2 linked regions of the Bombyx mori genome follow. The protein of the gene in region 1 purifies or fractionates together with the protein of each later gene. This does not show direct contact. Links are inferred from orthologs where the notes say so. Each region holds a gene or a part of one and is shown on either strand. Other genes may lie near its edges.

Region 1 (8,570 bases):
CTAAATAAAACGAGATTAAAAGCAATATAACATTATAAATCTTGACCGCATCATAGTGCACTGTCAGTAAGATCTGCATCAGGTCAAACCACCAAATACATTTCCAAGGTAAAATCGTGTTCACACAGTTTCATAATCATGCAAAGCAAAAGGAAAAAAAAAAATTAATATAATTAAAGAGCGAAAATAAAAACACGACACACATAACTTACAACAGTTGTTACCGTTGGGGGTTGAGATTGAGGCGGAGGCGTACCGCAGTTTATATTTGGTATAGATGCTGGTATAACAGGCGTTGCCATCGGCGCAGCTGGCATCTGACCCGGTATAGGGCTGGAGGCCATGCTTGTTGACACCGTCGCGACGCCAGGATGCTGCACCAATAGATCCAGCCATTAATCATTGACCATTTTATAAATATCTATATTGCTGCCACCACACTGCACCACAAACTATGTTACTCGGTAAACTCTCGACTCATTTTTGAGAATTTTAAGTTTAATACCGGACGAGAGTATACCAAGACATCTAAACGAACGCAAATAAACTATCATTTGTCAAGGCGTCAATCACAAGCTTTTTAAAATATAAATATATGGAAATGCTTTAAATGTAAGGTGCATATGAAACTGGTAAAACGTAATTTTATCAAATGCATTTTGGTTATTTTTGGTGAATCATTGCAAGCTGGCAATTGCATCCAATTAAAGATATTAAATCATTTCAACCAAACACAAAAAATAATCATATAATTTACAACTATAACTCTAAATAGTTACATCTCCACTTCATCCAGAGAATTTTGAAACCAGGTCGTCCTCAGAAATGCTCCATAAATGAAGAAGCTCCATTTATTAATTTCATTAATAATTTTATATTATTGAAAGCATTCCATAATAGTGCACTTATTACTATATAGTTTCACTTGGAAGTAATCAGGCTGCTACAATATTATAAGTTTTCCAAAGACATTTGGACATTATGCTCACCCTTGCATACTTTATTCCTTCACCTTATTTAAAAAAAATATACGATACATACATAACTGTGTATGTGAAGACAGTGCATCAAAGCAATCATATTACAATAATCCCACTTGTAGCATGGTACTCATATAATGCATTTTCATATTACGCGATTTCAGCCCCTTGTATAACACGGGTGTTCACCTTATAACACGGGGATTTTTATACTGTGAAATTTATTATGATTTATACAGTTCATAATTAATTTTGCGTACTTTTGCACATTGTGTTAATCATTGTTGTTATAAAATAAAATTAATTAATTTATTTTGTGTTCCTAGTTTATGAATTGTAAAAACATTGGTTATATTGCATTATATTTATATATATTTGTATAAAACGCGTGTTATGGGATCACACAAGTGCGTCATATGAAAATACTCCTACAACGTGTTTCCTATAACATGGAACCAATTGACTGTGTTATAGGATGGATTACTGTATAATAATTTATAATAGATATTTTTGATATTTTTAAACAATGGCTTGTCTGTTATACAGTTAAGATTATATTAATCAAATAACTTATAATTTCTAAAATTTATAAAAAATTTATTAAAGTATAACACTAAATTATAAATATATCTATAAACACATATCTAATTATATTGCATATATTATTGTATTTACTAATAAATATTTAAATACTTGAAGCAGCTTAATAACTATGCATAATAAGCATGCTCTACAGCTAGCACGGACATTTGGCTTATACTTAGATGTACTGTTGGGGTACCAGCGCATATATTTATGCCTTACATTAAACTAATGAATCCAGGTAATTAGTATTTATAAGTAATGATACTCCAATTAGAATCTTCTTACCTTGTTAATAAGAACATGCACCTTCACCACATTTGTACATGCATGAACAACATGAAATTGGACAAACATGAGATTCTCAATGTGGCGCAAGAGAGAGGGGGGGTTGTCCAATCTCAGTCAGGGTGTGAGTGGTTGTGCCTACTTACTGCTGGCACAGTGGACAGCCTGATGGTTTGAGGCTGGGGCGTCGTGAGAGAGCTGGCCGCTGGAGCGGGACCCACTCTCAGCAACTGGTATTGACCATTCTCTGTCTTTAACAACAAATGACCCTGCTGGCCCGGTTGTAGACTTGGTAGTGTTTGCAGCGTTATCTAAAAATTGAACGCTTCAATTCAATTTCACCTACTTCTTCATTAAATGAAGAGTAACAAGTGAAAGAATATATATTTTACTAAATATAAAATTGGAATGCGAATTCCTAAAGCAGGTCATTTGTTAAAATTTATAACACACTTCAGTGACATGACAACATTGACGGGACAGGTGACTGTGCAAAACTAACATGTATATGATATGATTATGACAAGGTTAGGATGGGTTAAGCTATTATTGATTACAATATTATACAAAAGCCCGAGTAGCACAATGCAATTATATATGACATATATGACATCTGAAATGAAGCTTTCTCAGATTCCATTAAACTGGTAAAGATTGCTTGATTTCATAAATTTTACTAATATTTTTATTTGTAGCAGTTTTATGGATTCCCAGAAAATTATATAATAAAGTTTAATTTATAAATCCATGTTGTATTAGGTTTATATTTTGAGGCATTATTTGATTGTAGGGTAGCAGAATTCAAAGTTAAATTTCAGCTTGTTTATGATATGCAAACCACTGAAAATTTGTTGAATCACCAGTGGGCCCATTTCCCATTGATAAAAGTTTAACAAGCAGTATTCTGTGTTTATGTGACAATTTGTGCAAATATGCTAAGAGTTTTAGATGACAGTGATGTTGCCCGAAGAAATCCATCCTCTTCATGTTTCAGTGAAATTTATTTACAGATAAGTGGGTATCTAAGAATTGTGTTAATATCTTTTGTACATAACCATAATGAACCATGTTATAACATTTATTTTTACAGCATAACATTATAATGCAGAAAGATCCTGTAGATTTTTTCTTTTTTGTTTTAGTTCCTCTATAATGTCTATTGTTAATTTGTTTTAGGACTGATAAAAAGACAATAAAAACAATAGAAGATTCTGATTTGATTAAATTAGAAATTAATAACATTAACTTATTTTAAGTTTAATGATTTTTATCTTTTACAAACATTTCAGAAAAGTTGCAATATACTATGTTTTGAATTTCCTAAATATTGTTTTATTTATAAAAGTTTTTTTTTTTTTGGTGGTATATTTACTTTACAACTTGTATCAGTCCTAAAAGTTTTAAATAAGTTTTAGTGACAAAACGCTTGGATAAATAATTAATGTATTAATATTTTAACATTTGAGACTTACGCCTGGTCCTGCAGCTCTGGTGCCAACAACTTGTGGGGTGCCTATCACTACTCTTGGTGATACTGTTGCTACTGACTTTTGTGCCGCAACTGCTGGAGCACCAGCTCTCATATTCAGAATCTGAACATTAGGGAGTATTGTGGGCTGACTCGAACCCAAGTTCTGAGTTGTTACAACTACATTTTGTCCAGGTTTGTTCAAAGTCATTACATTTGGTATTGAACCGGACATGCTTGAATTGGCTGTCATCGGTACTGTGACCATTCCAGACTGTATTCCCACTTGGCCCGAAGACGTCCCCTGTTTTAAAACTAAAGGAGGTTGCATCGCGTCTACTGACGTTATCAAATGATTTTGGGACGAGGACAACCCAACGAAACCGTTCGGAAGTGACTGAGCGGGAAATGTCACCGAATTTGGGTTAGAAAATGCTTGAGCCTGAGAATATATAACTTGTATGTTATCGTTACAATTGGTCACAGTACCACCCGGTGTCAAAGAGGAATAAGTACCAGGAACACTTGATTGGACATTATTACAGGACGTGCTATTTGTCAACGAGGGTCTGTGTATACTGTTCGCGGCAATACCGCAGCTAACTCCGCCTGTTGTATATTTATGACCACTTATAATAGAGCCCGCGTTCGAACTTAGCCCGGGAAACTGAGATGATAAAACGTTCACTAAAATATTTTGTGACGGCGCCGACGATACGTTAGTAACTAATTGGTTTTCGAGAGTGCCCACGATCGCGTTCACGGCTTTCTCGTCGACGTCTGTGGACAAAGCTTCCTCCAAAAACTCCGTTGACGCCATTTTCTACAAATCAGCGGATATGACACTGGACGGTTACAAACCGGTATTTACCGACAAAATGTGGTATCACTGCTTTTGGAAACAACTTTTATTTTTTACTTTTTAGATTTTTGTCTGTTTGATAAAAAGTACTTTTTTTAAGACAGCCCAAATAAAATCACTACCTTTTCAATAAAAAGAATAATTTTGTTATTTGACTGAAAATTGTACAAATGTTGGTAATACATGCTAAAAGTTGTCATACCTCAGATGACTATATACAATATTTACAGTTAAATACACAGGGACATAAAATAAGGTACATAAATAAATAAATAAACACCAACTTTGTGATCTGTTAAAAGTGTCCGCCAAAAAGTAGAACAGCGTCTTTGTACAAAGGTGAGCCAATTTACAACTGCAAAGGTTTCAGGCTAAAACTTATTCTTAATTCGCTATTCATAACTATATTTTAATTTTAAGTCTCTTTTGTTGTGATTGTGTTAGACACTTTATAAATTACGTTCTTATCAAATCCTAATGTTATAATACCACATTTTACTCCATCTAAAGTGATCGACATTCCTTAATGAATTGAATTATAATGAGGTCTAAGTCGCAAGTCGCAAAATTTTAGTTATGATATTAATTTATATTTTTGGAAAAATATTAACAAGCTAAAAAGCTACGTTAATATTTTTTAAATTATCTATACCAATATTATAAAGAAGAAAGATTTGTTTGTTTGTTTGTATTGAATAGGCTCCGAAACCACTGAACCGATTTGAAAAATTCTTTCACTGTTTCGAAGCTACATTATTCCCGAGTGACATAGGTTATATTATTTTTTGAAAAATTTAGGGATCTTACTAAAACTAAAACTCCAATAATGTAACCCAAGGTGTAAAAAAATTACCTTCAATATTCTTTCCATCGCGTGCCCTGCGAAAACTATTGATAATAGAATAAAATAATGTACAACTTTGTAGAACACATTATTTACAAAAAGTGTCGCAACAGCATATGTACTCTTATAGTTATTCCGCAATAAGTGTTCTTTTATTTAAAAAAAAATAAAACAACGTCAAATATCATTGAATTTTTTATTAAAGACCCGAGCGGAGACGGTGCGGGCCGCTAGTACTGTATAAATTGAATTAAATTCACGAAAATTTTAGTGCGTTTCAATATGATTAGTAGCATAAATAAAGTAGAGTAAACGAAATAAACGAAATAAAACACGATTTTAGGGCGAAATAAAGAAGGGACTTTAAGTGGGCTCCCTCAGAGGGTAGAACCCAAATATATTAAGTGTATAATCTATAGGCAGAACTAAGGAGTACCATCTAGTATATTAAAAAGTGTCCACTGAAAGGGAGCCAATTAAAGTGCTTTCATAGTAGCAAGTGGAAAGATTTTAAAACAGCGCCATAAACGACCACACTGCTGGTATGTTCCGATTTGCACAGCGAGCACTGTAAAGTGTGACGACAAATTAGTATACTGCGAAGCCGTTCCTTTACAGTACAGTTTAATGTCATCGACGTGGTCATGGCGGTGTTTTCACTTCAGCAAAAATTCTTGTTTAAATTTAGTTATATTTGAAAATAGAATATTCAAATTATTGTCAGTTGAATAAATCGCCAAAAGTAAACTGTATACTTTTTAGTAAAAAAAAAGTTGTTTTTCAAGCAATTTAATGTATAATAACTTAATAACCGTATTATTGAAATGAGGTTATGCACGGTAACCAAATCCGTCTACAAAAAAAGTAAAAGCAGTATTAAATTAGAGTCAAAAGGAGACCCCTTTCCAATAAACAGAGGCGTAAGACAAGGTGACCCATTATCTCCCAAGCTGTTTAATGCAGTACTGGAATGCACATTTAGAAGATTAAACTGGGATAACTATGGTATTATAATCAATGGAAGTCGCCTCAATCATTTGAGATTTGCAGATGATATTATCTTGCTAGAAGAAGATCCTAAGAAACTTGAACACATGATTAAAGAAATAGTAGAAAAAAGCAGAGAAGTAGGGCTAGAAATTAATGCAGATAAAACGAAACTAATGACGAACTCAACAGAAAGAAACATAGAGGTAAACGGAATCAAGTTCGAATATGTGAAGGAATTCGTTTACCTAGGACAAATTATATCTTCTGAAGACTCCATGTCCAAGGAAATAAACAAAAGAATAGCATGCGGTTGGAAAAAATACTGGTCCTTGAAAGAGATAATGAAGAATAAAGATCTAGGTATACATATCAAGAGAAAGACTTTCAACACTTGTATTCTCCCTTGCATGACTTACGGCTGTGAGACATGGAAATTAACTGACAAACATAGAGAAAAACTTGCTAAAACAGAGAGAGCAATGGAAAGAAGCATGTTGAGTATCAGACTTAGTGCAGAATTCGAAATTGGGAAATAAGAAGGAAGATAAAAGTAACGGATATAATAACTCGTATAGAAAATCTTAAATGAAGTTGGACAGGACATATTATGCTACGTGTAATAAGAGAAAATCTTTACTGAATATAAGGTTTTAATAAGCTAAAATTAACAGTAAAATTTGCTTTGATTACATTAGGTACATTGACAAATAACGAATAAAACAGATTGACAATTACGTCAACTTATGGCTGATAATTTCAACTAAGAAGTTTACATCACTACGTTGCAAAAAAAACAAGTGGAGTAAACAAGTAACTTTATGGTATCCAAGAGGGGACACCAGAAGACAGGGGCGACCAAAAACGAGATGGAGCGACGATACACGCCTAACCCTAGGACCATACTGGACCAGAGTTGCAGAGGACCGAGCCCAATGGAGAGAGCTGGAGGAGGCCTATGCCACGAGGCACGCTGAACTGCGAGATATACTATAAGAAATAAAATGTAAAAAAAACACAAAAATGTAAAATTTCATGGTTGTAGTTCGGAATTAAAGGGCTTTATTATTATTATGCACGGTAACAGTGATGAAGTGAAGATTTATGAAATCATGTATTTCCTTAAGTTACTGCGACTGTATACTGTCAGTCCTTAACGTCACAAATATCTCTGCAGTAAGAGCACTGAACACTGCTCGCAGTGTAAATCGGAACAAAGCCTTCACTGTAATCCAGCATACTTCACTCAGTTTAAAAACTTCTTCATACTATTTCCCCTTGCAACACTAGCGGTAATTCGGTGACTTTTGGAACTATAATGTGCTATTTACAGATGGACACTTTTTCAACTTGTCCCCTATACAATATGGTACTCCTTACCTCTACTCTCCATGTTTTTCGATGAACTAAGTACGATATTTCTGAAAATATGTTTGGATTGTGTAATACATCGTGTTAGTAGCAGTTAAATAAAAAGATAAATGGCCATTATGGCGGTTTTGCCAAAAGTTAAAAAGTCTGCAATGATAAGTCATGAGCTTACGTATTATTTAATTAGATTCAAAACCCATTTTAGTCAAGATTATGCTAGCTTCACCGGATTTCTTACAGTTTAAACTTTATAACTTTATAAAATATATTTTTTATAACTTTACTAAGACTTACTAATCATTTTTCAAAATACGACGTTGGCAGCTATGGAAATATAAGAAATCGATTGCCATACTGAAAAAAAGACAAATTTTATCAAACGTCAATTTAATATACGTCAATTCAATTTAATTTCTACTTCTAGTTTTACACTTGTTCTGTTAGTGTGTTATGTGTTTAGTTTTGTATTTTTAAAATTTTTTAAAACTATGACCGTGGCTTTTAATACTAATTTAAAGTAATAAAAAAATGTTTTAAATAAATCTAAGGTTAGTCCATAAAATATCTTATTAACATTTAGAATATTTGATTTTAATAAAATACCGTGCTGTTTTTGTAAATAAATCGTAAGTCCTTTGCAATTTATTCACGAACTAGATTTGATATCCATTCTACATCTGCCACATATATGCCCAGTGGAAATAAAGTGGGCGTTTGATTTTCCATGTTATTACTTCGGATAAGTCAAGAGACATAACTTTCCGGTATTTTAATTAAATTCAACCAGTATTTCAAGAGTAGAGTCGTTCAATTATCATAATATGGTAATGGGTACTTAGATTTTGTAACATCAAATATAAACAAGTTATTATTAATAAAAATTAATCTGACTCTTTCGTTTTTAATTTGAACTGGAACAGTAACAATATACAACTTTTATTTTTATCAACAAATTCCGAAATTATCATTTATAAATTGAAACATTGAAAATATTTAATAGTAAAAAACATATCTTTCTAATTAAAAATTCAGACTAATAAACTACTTAATATGTATATTACTACTAAAGTATATTAACTTTGTAACTATATTTTAAAAATTATACAAAAATTCACACATCTTTTTTTTTTATTTATTGCTTAGATGGTTGGATGAGCTCACAGCTGGTGTTAAGTGATTACTGGAGTC
Region 2 (8,570 bases), on another chromosome or scaffold:
AAAATGAGATCATTTTAAAGGTTGAACTCTTAACTTTAAACTGATACCAAATTCATTCAAATCGAGCCAGTAGTTAAGGAGCTATTCCGGATTAAGTGAAGGAGGTAGGAAACAAAGGAAATATGGAAAAATAATGAATGCATAAAACAACAAAAATTAATAAATAAAAATTTTATTTAGCCTTAAAATTAAATGTCAGTACTTTGTGTTCCCTTCCCTTGCCCTAATAACTCCTCGAAGACGATTCTTCATAGACCTGATCAGGTTTTGAATTGATTCTTGTGGGATACCTTCCCACTTCTCAATCAACGCCGATTTCAGCTCATTCAGGCATGAAGGAGCAGAAGTTCTGGAACGAACCCTATTCTTCAGTTCATCCCACACGTGCTGAATAGGATTCAAGTCAGGGCTGAGCGCAGGCCAGTCCAATGTGGCGATATAGACTTCTTCGAAGTATTCAGTTGTTCCACGGGCAGTGTGACAACGAGCGTTATCGTGCTTAAGGAGGAAGCTATCACCGGCATATCCCGCATAGGGAACGACATGTTCCAGCAGAATATTGGAAATGTACCCGTCCGAAGTTGACCGCCTCCTTGTCCCCCGCCAGGCACGAAAACAAGCTCGGTTTTACCGTCGAAGGAAATGCCGGCCCACATCATACAAGAGCCGACCCCATAAGCCACTGTTTCAGCGAAACAGCACTGCGCAAATCGCTCCCCAGGCCACCTGTAGACCCAACCTCTTCGGTCGCTACCATGCAAACACATCCTGATCTCGTCGGAGAACAGGATTTGCCTCCATTGCTCAACGTCTCAATTAAGATTGGTACGAGCAAATTGAAGGCGTGCTTGTCGATGAGCTACCGTGAGTTTCGGGCCTGTGACAGGCCTTTTTGGAGTCAGATTCGCTTGCTTGAGTCGTCGACGAACTGTCTACTTGCTAGCTGCTACCCTACGAACATCTCGGAGCTCCTGTTGGACGTGGACACCAGGTTAATGCCGATTTCGGAGAGAGGTTAACACGATAAAACGGTCATTCCTCTCCGATGTGCCCCGGCGCCGTCCAGATCTTGGTCTCGGGATAAAGCTATCAGTCTCTTGAAAGCGCTTGCAAACTTTTGAAACACAGGAATGGCTTATTTGGAGCCGACGAGCGACAATCCGCTGGCTGAGCTCTTCTTGCAATAGGGCTACGATTTGTGCTACTTCTGTAGGTGTTGTCCCAATTGTCGTACAAGGTAAAGAGTCAAAAGTAGCCGAGATATGTACCAGTCAACGTGTGAAAGTCGACTGATAAAGAAAATCCGATAACAGGTGCTTTTATAGGGGTCAGTAGGCCGCAACTCGCGACGTATCAAGCAATTGAAACACGTCTTTTTCGTTATTCCTTCACTTAATCCAAGATAACTTCTTAAATACTGGCTTGATTTTAATGAATTTGGTATCAGTTTAAAGTTAGGAATTCAACCTTTAAAATGATCTCATTTTTATGATTATCAAAAAAATATTTAGTACACAAGATCGCGCGGAATCAATTTCAAGTAAGTGATTCCAAACTTTTGCTCGCGAGTGTAGTAGATGACAAGTTCTGTGAATGCATTTTTATCTTACCTACTCTATTTTAATGCCTTCTTAAATGTATGTTAAATCACTGTAGATATCCTGTTCTCATCTAGAAAACTACAACACATAATATCAAATTCAATTCAAAATTTGCACGGCAGCCAAGCTATACGGTCGCAAATTAAAAAGAATCTAGTTGTGCATCAAAACGGTATGAGTTCACCTCCAGATCTTACTTAAATTATAGGGCACAGTCAGACAGTGACTCTTTTAATCTCAGATTCTCTTACTTAAATCTTTCTGTTATTATATTATCTTTAGAACTTTTGGCAAGCTATTTCATTGAAATATGATTCACTTAAAAAAAACAGGAAAAATTCAATTTTTTTGTTGTTTCTACCTACAGTAATAATTAAAATACCCTTAGTCATATAAACCATACAATCTGAGCAATTTGCATCATCAGGTTTTATGGAATTAATCACTAAACAAACAGGATTAAACACATGATACTTTTTAATATCAAAATGTTGATTCCAGGCAGAAAGATCGTGATCCTATTAATTATTTATAGATCATAATCGTCGTCTTCTCTTTTCCGTTTGTGGCTCATTGGCTCGTCTGTCTCCATCTTGATAGGAGCCTGTGAGGAAGGACCAGCTGTCACTCTTACAGCTGGTTTTACTACCTGCAATATAATTCATTGACATTTAAATATTGTGCTAACTATGAAATGTCAGAAATAATGTAAAGCAAATAAAAAATGAAAGATTAAAATTAGTTTTAATTTATAATGTAGATTTCAATACATAATCAGATATAATAAAAAAAAATTGTGACGCAATTTTGATATTATCAAATATAAGTTGACATTTAATTAGACAAAATAGATATTTCGTTTTGTTTATATCATAATATAGATTATCAGTTTTCAACATTTCAAATTATTGTTAGGAAATAAAGAAACCACTTTTTAATAGTTCAATCTGTGATGAATATGATAAAGCATAGTGCTGTCTATTTATCTATTCTATAATTTTAAAATTAAACCAAATTCTTACTTTACTGCTTGATGAAAATTTCAGTACAGGTTTTGTTCCGAGACTGGTTTTTGGGGTGCCCACATTCACAATTGCTCCCGGTGGTCTCTTCATAACAACTGTCTGTTGAGGTGCTTTGGATGTGGTGACCGTTTTTATGGACGGGGAAGGGGTTATCGTAGTTTTTGTGATCACTTTCTTGGTTGCTGGTTTCAGTTTGTAATTACAGGATGACAGGCAGTAACTGGAAAAATGAATATTCTCTGTAAACATGCAGCGATTTACAAGTTAACCATATTAAAAGGCTCTGGGTGTTAAGGGAATCTCATGTTTCACACAAAATTAATCAAAATTATTCCATAATTTCCTTTGTTAGCGGAATTGGTCCATAGTGTATTTCTATTCATCATTTTTACTATTATACCAGGCTCCCAAATGCAACCATTGGTGTTTATGGAGTATTCTGACATTATTTCAGTAAGGTTTGAAGACTTCTTAGTAACAGGCAGTATTGAAGTATCAGTAACTACTTACAAATTGTAATAAGACAATCTGTCACCTAAAGATATTGTTTACAAGAAGACTTTACTGAACTTTGATTGTGAACACAATATTGTTGCAATCAATTCATGGTGCGCAAATTACATACGTGTGGTCTAAAGTGGAGTATTTTTCCCTCAAGTCCGGTGATTGAACCTTGAGCTATTTAAGCTAATCCTGATTTTTGAAGAAATTATCTAAGTCCATACTCACGAAAGATTAATATAATGTGCTGTGAGATATAGGATTAAAGTGTGCTACATTTTCCAATACTTACCGATCCGGAGGCAGTCTTAACCCGCAATGCGGCTTTATCAACGGCAAAGGATTAACATTCTTGACCCTCGCGATCTCCAGTAGCACTTCACGGGGCGGGGGATTCGTGAAGGACTTGTCCAATTGCATTTGAGCTGACAGTCTCACATCATCAAGATCTATAGTTTTCTTTTTTGCGTGGTTTGCAAATATCCTTGCATCATCTAATACTGATGTAACGTAGCGGTATGTGAATTCTAGGAGCTGGTTCACGACTCTCGGTTCATAGTCAGTGATACCTACTTCCTTCATGATGGACATGATGACTTGGGCATCTTTGGGAATGTGCTTAGCTTGACCACCCGATTTGGATTTGTCTTTCTCTGACATCTTGTAGTTTTATTTGTTATTTTAATTTTAGACCGAATTATTTCTGATTTGTTTAAAAATCTTTTTCTTAGTCATAGTATTGGCATACTTTATTTTGGTAACAATGCTATAAAAACAACACTTGTGCTGTGATTGTGACAGATCTATGTTGTTTGATGACGATTGTCAAGTCAATTCAAACTGTCAGTGTCAGCCATTCTGAGCCATTGACATCTTCATTTCAGAACACATTTAAAAGTATATCTCTCTATGGTTGTTGTCAGAACTTGGAAACAAACAAAAAACTGGTGCGCGTATAAAACTTGGTGCACGTGAAAGAAGTGAAACTTCAATTTATCTCGAGAAATAAGATTAACTTAGAAAGAAGTTGTTACCAGTATTCGATGATTACCGAACGAGTCCTTTGGTTTTACAATAATAATATGTTTAGTGATAATTACTTTTATTTAAAATACCGCCTTCTGTAAATAATTTAGAAACTAAACTGTTCACACCGATGGTCTTGCAATGTAGTAGTTAAACGAAATCCAATAGATGTCACTAAATTAAAAAACGACCTAACTCGCTTTGCCCTTTCCCTCTCTCCACGGTTGAGTGGTTCACAAGACGCCCTACCTATTTTCTTACTCTCGCTCTTCCTAAATTGTATCTTTTCTCTCTAGCCGTAACGAATCTGTCGCGAGTTAAATTTCACTCTCAACGCGCCTAAAGAAGTTTTACTTCAAAAAATATATAATGAATTCCTTTTTTCTTATTTATTTCGTTCATCAAACAGCTGTACAGTTAGTTAACAAAACTAACTAAGTAGCTGGTTTCAATATCTCTACTTTCAATACCTTTATCTTTAAACAAATGTAAACGCTTATCCCGCACTGTCTTACGAAAAAAATATTACCTAGATATTAAATTTCCTTTTATGCATTTACATTCAAAACAGAAATCATTTTTCTTATTTATTTATCTTAATTAAAGTACTCAAAATAAAAAGATATATGTATGTATATTATTTTTCGGCAATATTGTAACAAAATGAAAAACTGGTTTGTATTATTTGGTTCATTTAATTTTAGGATTTTCTTAGATTTAGAGAATATTAATATTCATTTATCAACCGTCTATAAACTGTGAATTGAAAAATAAATTAGAATAGATATCCATAATCTGGTTTTTTTCTGCCGCAAAACAGTCAAGCGTTCCCGTTTGATGTTTCTTTGTTCTGTTGGAATTTAAGCAATTGCTTGCCTTTCGACAAGTTACACAAAAAAGTTAGATATCCACTTAATAACAGTCTGGCAGGTTTTTTTACTAAGATAGCCAGTTCTGATTAGCGCCATGTTCAGTTTATTCATTCATTCATGAGACAGTATCTTGGAAGTAGGACTATTTTAACGATGGTGAATCAACAAGAATTGTTTCTAAAGTCACTGAAGGTTGACATGGATTTTGAAGGGTATTAAATAAATAAAACATACAACTATAATAACCATTTCGATTTATTCAGTTAAAATATGAAATAACTTACGTGTACAGTAAAAATAAGTATTTTCAGATATCAATCCAATTGTTAAGTGGGTCGCTTCGGACGCTGACACGTCGCAGCACGGCGATACCTTCACGAAATGTACTAGAATATCGCTAATGATTACATTAATGTAATATTGTATTAGGTACATTAACTAATACATGGACAATTTGGACGTACACTTGTCAATATTATTTATTTATATTAATTTAAGATAAAACGTATTTATACATAGGTATAGAAACAGTTCACTTTGCTTTTGTTCCATTCAATTGCAACAATCATTATGACATACACAAGTTACGAATGACATTAGTCTTATAAAATACAAATGAGAACAAAAGTAGAGCGAATCGGTTTAATAGATGTTTCGTAGAGAAGTGACGCGTGCACACACATACACACGCGCGTACGAATGCACATATCATTATTGCTGTTGTCATAATGGCGCCATAACGCCATCACCAGATTAGTATCCACTACAAATTGTGCTACACCATGAATATTATCACGACAATCGTCCATCACTATCACTTAAAACTTATTATATCACCTAATGAGGTTTCAAACGATAAACTACGGTGTACCTCACACATTCATTACTAAACGAATGTCTTCCATCTAAACACGCAAATCAACTGGATATTCTACAGAGACGGATTGCGTTCGTATGTAATATTTTATTAGTAATTAAATGCTCTGTATGTTCCGATAAAAGGCATACATAAATATGTGTATATAGATAAATGTTGCCAAGTAATTTATCGTTATATTTCCGTTTATTATCAACTAATTTAGCGTTAGAAGTTTATGTAATGTAATGTTTGAAGAAACTTCTAAATTGTCTTTACTCATTATAAATATTTATGATGTAATGATGAAATAAGATAACTTTTATCGATTTCAAATATGAAGCTACAAATTTTTTGGTGAAACTATTATTATTCTTATAACGGTAATTAAGTTCCGTTATGTATGTAATTTTATATTACTGTTTTTTTTTCTCATGTGTTTTACGTATCTCTGTTTCCAGTTCCGTTCTACATCCAAGGGTGACGTGTGTGAGGCTTCCTATAAGTAACTACTTAGGTAAAAATGTACTTACGCTAGTCGCAGTGAATACGATATCAACAACCTAACTAATCTCTAATTACCGAAGAACTATTAACATCACAAAATCCCAACTATCAAGATGTATGTACGCGACCAAGAAAATAATGTTTTACATACGCACGGCCTCACTCGCCTTTGTCTATGGCCTCGATTTACACTTCTATGGTAAACGCGGGAAACGTTTTTTTTTTAATTTCATCATCGATTTCGGAATTTTAAGGTGAGATATGCAACAGTTATAGTCGATAAACTTAATATCGAACGCATTAAACAACTAATAATGATTGCACGTTAATTATAATTATACAATAAAATAAAAATTTAAGAAATAAAAATAAAATTTTCAATTACATTCGATAACAACACAGAATAAGCTCAACTTTCCGTATCATTAACTTCGTACAGCTAGTTTACATCATTACGTACTTTATATTTAAAATAAATCAATTCAAATAAACAATTGCATAGCATTAAGATCCATAAATATATATATAACATTTATTTTTCACAGCTTATCAAAATTGTTGTCATTACAAAAATATCCAAACGTATGAAAATATAGTGGACAAAAGCTGAAGTCGTCGCCGCGTCGGGTTCGCTAAAGGCACTCCGCAGTGGAAATTATTACTCGAGTGGTAATTACGAACGAGAACTCAACTGTGACGGAGAGGGAGGGGGAGGGAGGGGGACAAACAGAGCTTTTGAAAAACGATAAAAAGCGCATTGTAGCCTTCACACTAAATAATAAAACTTATGCTATGAATATAATACGTCATAAGAACGGGAAGAAACTACGTAACGGGGCGATAACGGATTTGAAACAACAAGCGGGGGGACGCGGGGGACGCTGGGGGGGGAGTCGACTGTGACCCAGCGCAGCCAGGAACGTATGTCCTCGAGGGATCCCCTCGGAATTTCTTTAACTTCGACCAATTCTACAAAAGGCATATTTTTCCCGATTTTTAATTCCAGACTTTCTCGAAGGATCCTTATGAGATTGTGTCAAATAGTATCTCCAAAAACAATCACGGGTTATTCATACAAGGTACCACTCTATTTTGTGTTACGGTTTATAAATTCACATCGTTTTCACATAGGGTTATAGATTTTGAGTGTATAATACCCTATGCGCAGAGGGTGAGTAGTGTTCCTTCCTGGCTACGTGAGGGAGGGGGCGGTGCCTACGTGGTGAGTGCGGGCTGCGCGTGGTCGGCGGGCGGGGGGTGCGGGGGCGGGGGGTGGGGCGGCGCGGAGTACTCGACCACCTCCTGGTAGATGAGCTGCTTCCACTGCTCCACGGTGTGCTCGCGTTCGTCCACCGAGTGGTCGTATGAGGCCGGTGCGGGCTGAACAAAAACACCGCTCAGTTTTTCATTGTTTTATTGCCTTATGCTAATACCAAAATAGTTTGAAAATACACATGCATCTGAGCTTGGCTACCTCAGACCCTCCTACTTCCAAGTCGGGCACACCGACTCACTTGGTATCAAGTTCTTGACAGTTAGGATCCCACGGACATCTAATGGAAGGATGTCCCGCCCTTCAAACAGGAACGCGGTAGAAATAGGCAAGACTGTGGTACATACTCGTGCGGACGTTTCCAGAGAGCGTGGCTGCTACGGGCCGGCGCAGTGCGTGGCCAGTGTCAGTGTCAGGGTCAGAGTCAATGTCAGTGTCAGAGTGTGGTACTCACCGCGTTGACCTCTACCTCGTCGTACCACACGTTGATGTAGGGATGCAGCAGGGCGTCGTCCACTGAGATGCGGCGCTCGGGGTCGATGACCAGCATGCGCGACAACAGGTCGCGGGCCTGCGACGCCTGGGGGAGGGGGGAAGGGGGAGCTCGTCAGTACGGCGTCGACATCGGTGACGTCACGGCGCAGTCGGACCGGCGCGGCGTTACCTTGAGTCGGTTGTGCTCGTTGCTGTCGCTGGGGAACAGTATGTCCGGGAAGAGCCGCTCGAAGCTGTACCCGGAGTAGCGCGGTCTGTTCTCGACGTAGTTGCGGACCGTGGGCTGCAGCCGGGACATGAACGCGGCCGACGGCGTGCCCAGTTGCTCTGGTGTACAATAACAACTGTTATTACAGAGGCGTGCCCATGTCAGAGACGGTCAGCTACCAGCGGGAGAGGCCGGAACAAGGCACA

Evidence for each region. Proteins that work in one complex are often made in the same cells at the same time.
Region 2: the proteins of transcription initiation factor TFIID subunit 4 (region 1) and transcription initiation factor TFIID subunit 9 purify together in Drosophila melanogaster (affinity purification with western blotting; 4 studies listed by BioGRID, with this or other methods). This does not show direct contact. The link is inferred for Bombyx mori from reciprocal best matches to the Drosophila melanogaster genes Taf4 and Taf9.

What each region holds. Positions count from the first base shown.
Region 1 is NC_085107.1:19,833,613-19,842,182, forward strand, and holds the start of transcription initiation factor TFIID subunit 4, read right to left. Parts: upstream 4,162-8,570; 5' UTR 4,139-4,161; coding exon 3,323-4,138; intron 2,162-3,322; coding exon 1,997-2,161; intron 375-1,996; coding exon 213-374; intron 1-212. UniProt on the Drosophila melanogaster protein: TFIID is a multimeric protein complex that plays a central role in mediating promoter responses to various activators and repressors.
Region 2 is NC_085109.1:1,355,713-1,364,282, forward strand, and holds transcription initiation factor TFIID subunit 9, read right to left. Parts: upstream 3,984-8,570; 5' UTR 3,788-3,983; coding exon 3,420-3,787; intron 2,847-3,419; coding exon 2,624-2,846; intron 2,251-2,623; coding exon 2,131-2,250; 3' UTR 2,061-2,130; downstream 1-2,060. Other genes in the region: Jnk (c-Jun NH2-terminal kinase), read right to left, coding at 7,604-7,768, 8,116-8,241, 8,326-8,483. UniProt on the Drosophila melanogaster protein: TFIID is a multimeric protein complex that plays a central role in mediating promoter responses to various activators and repressors.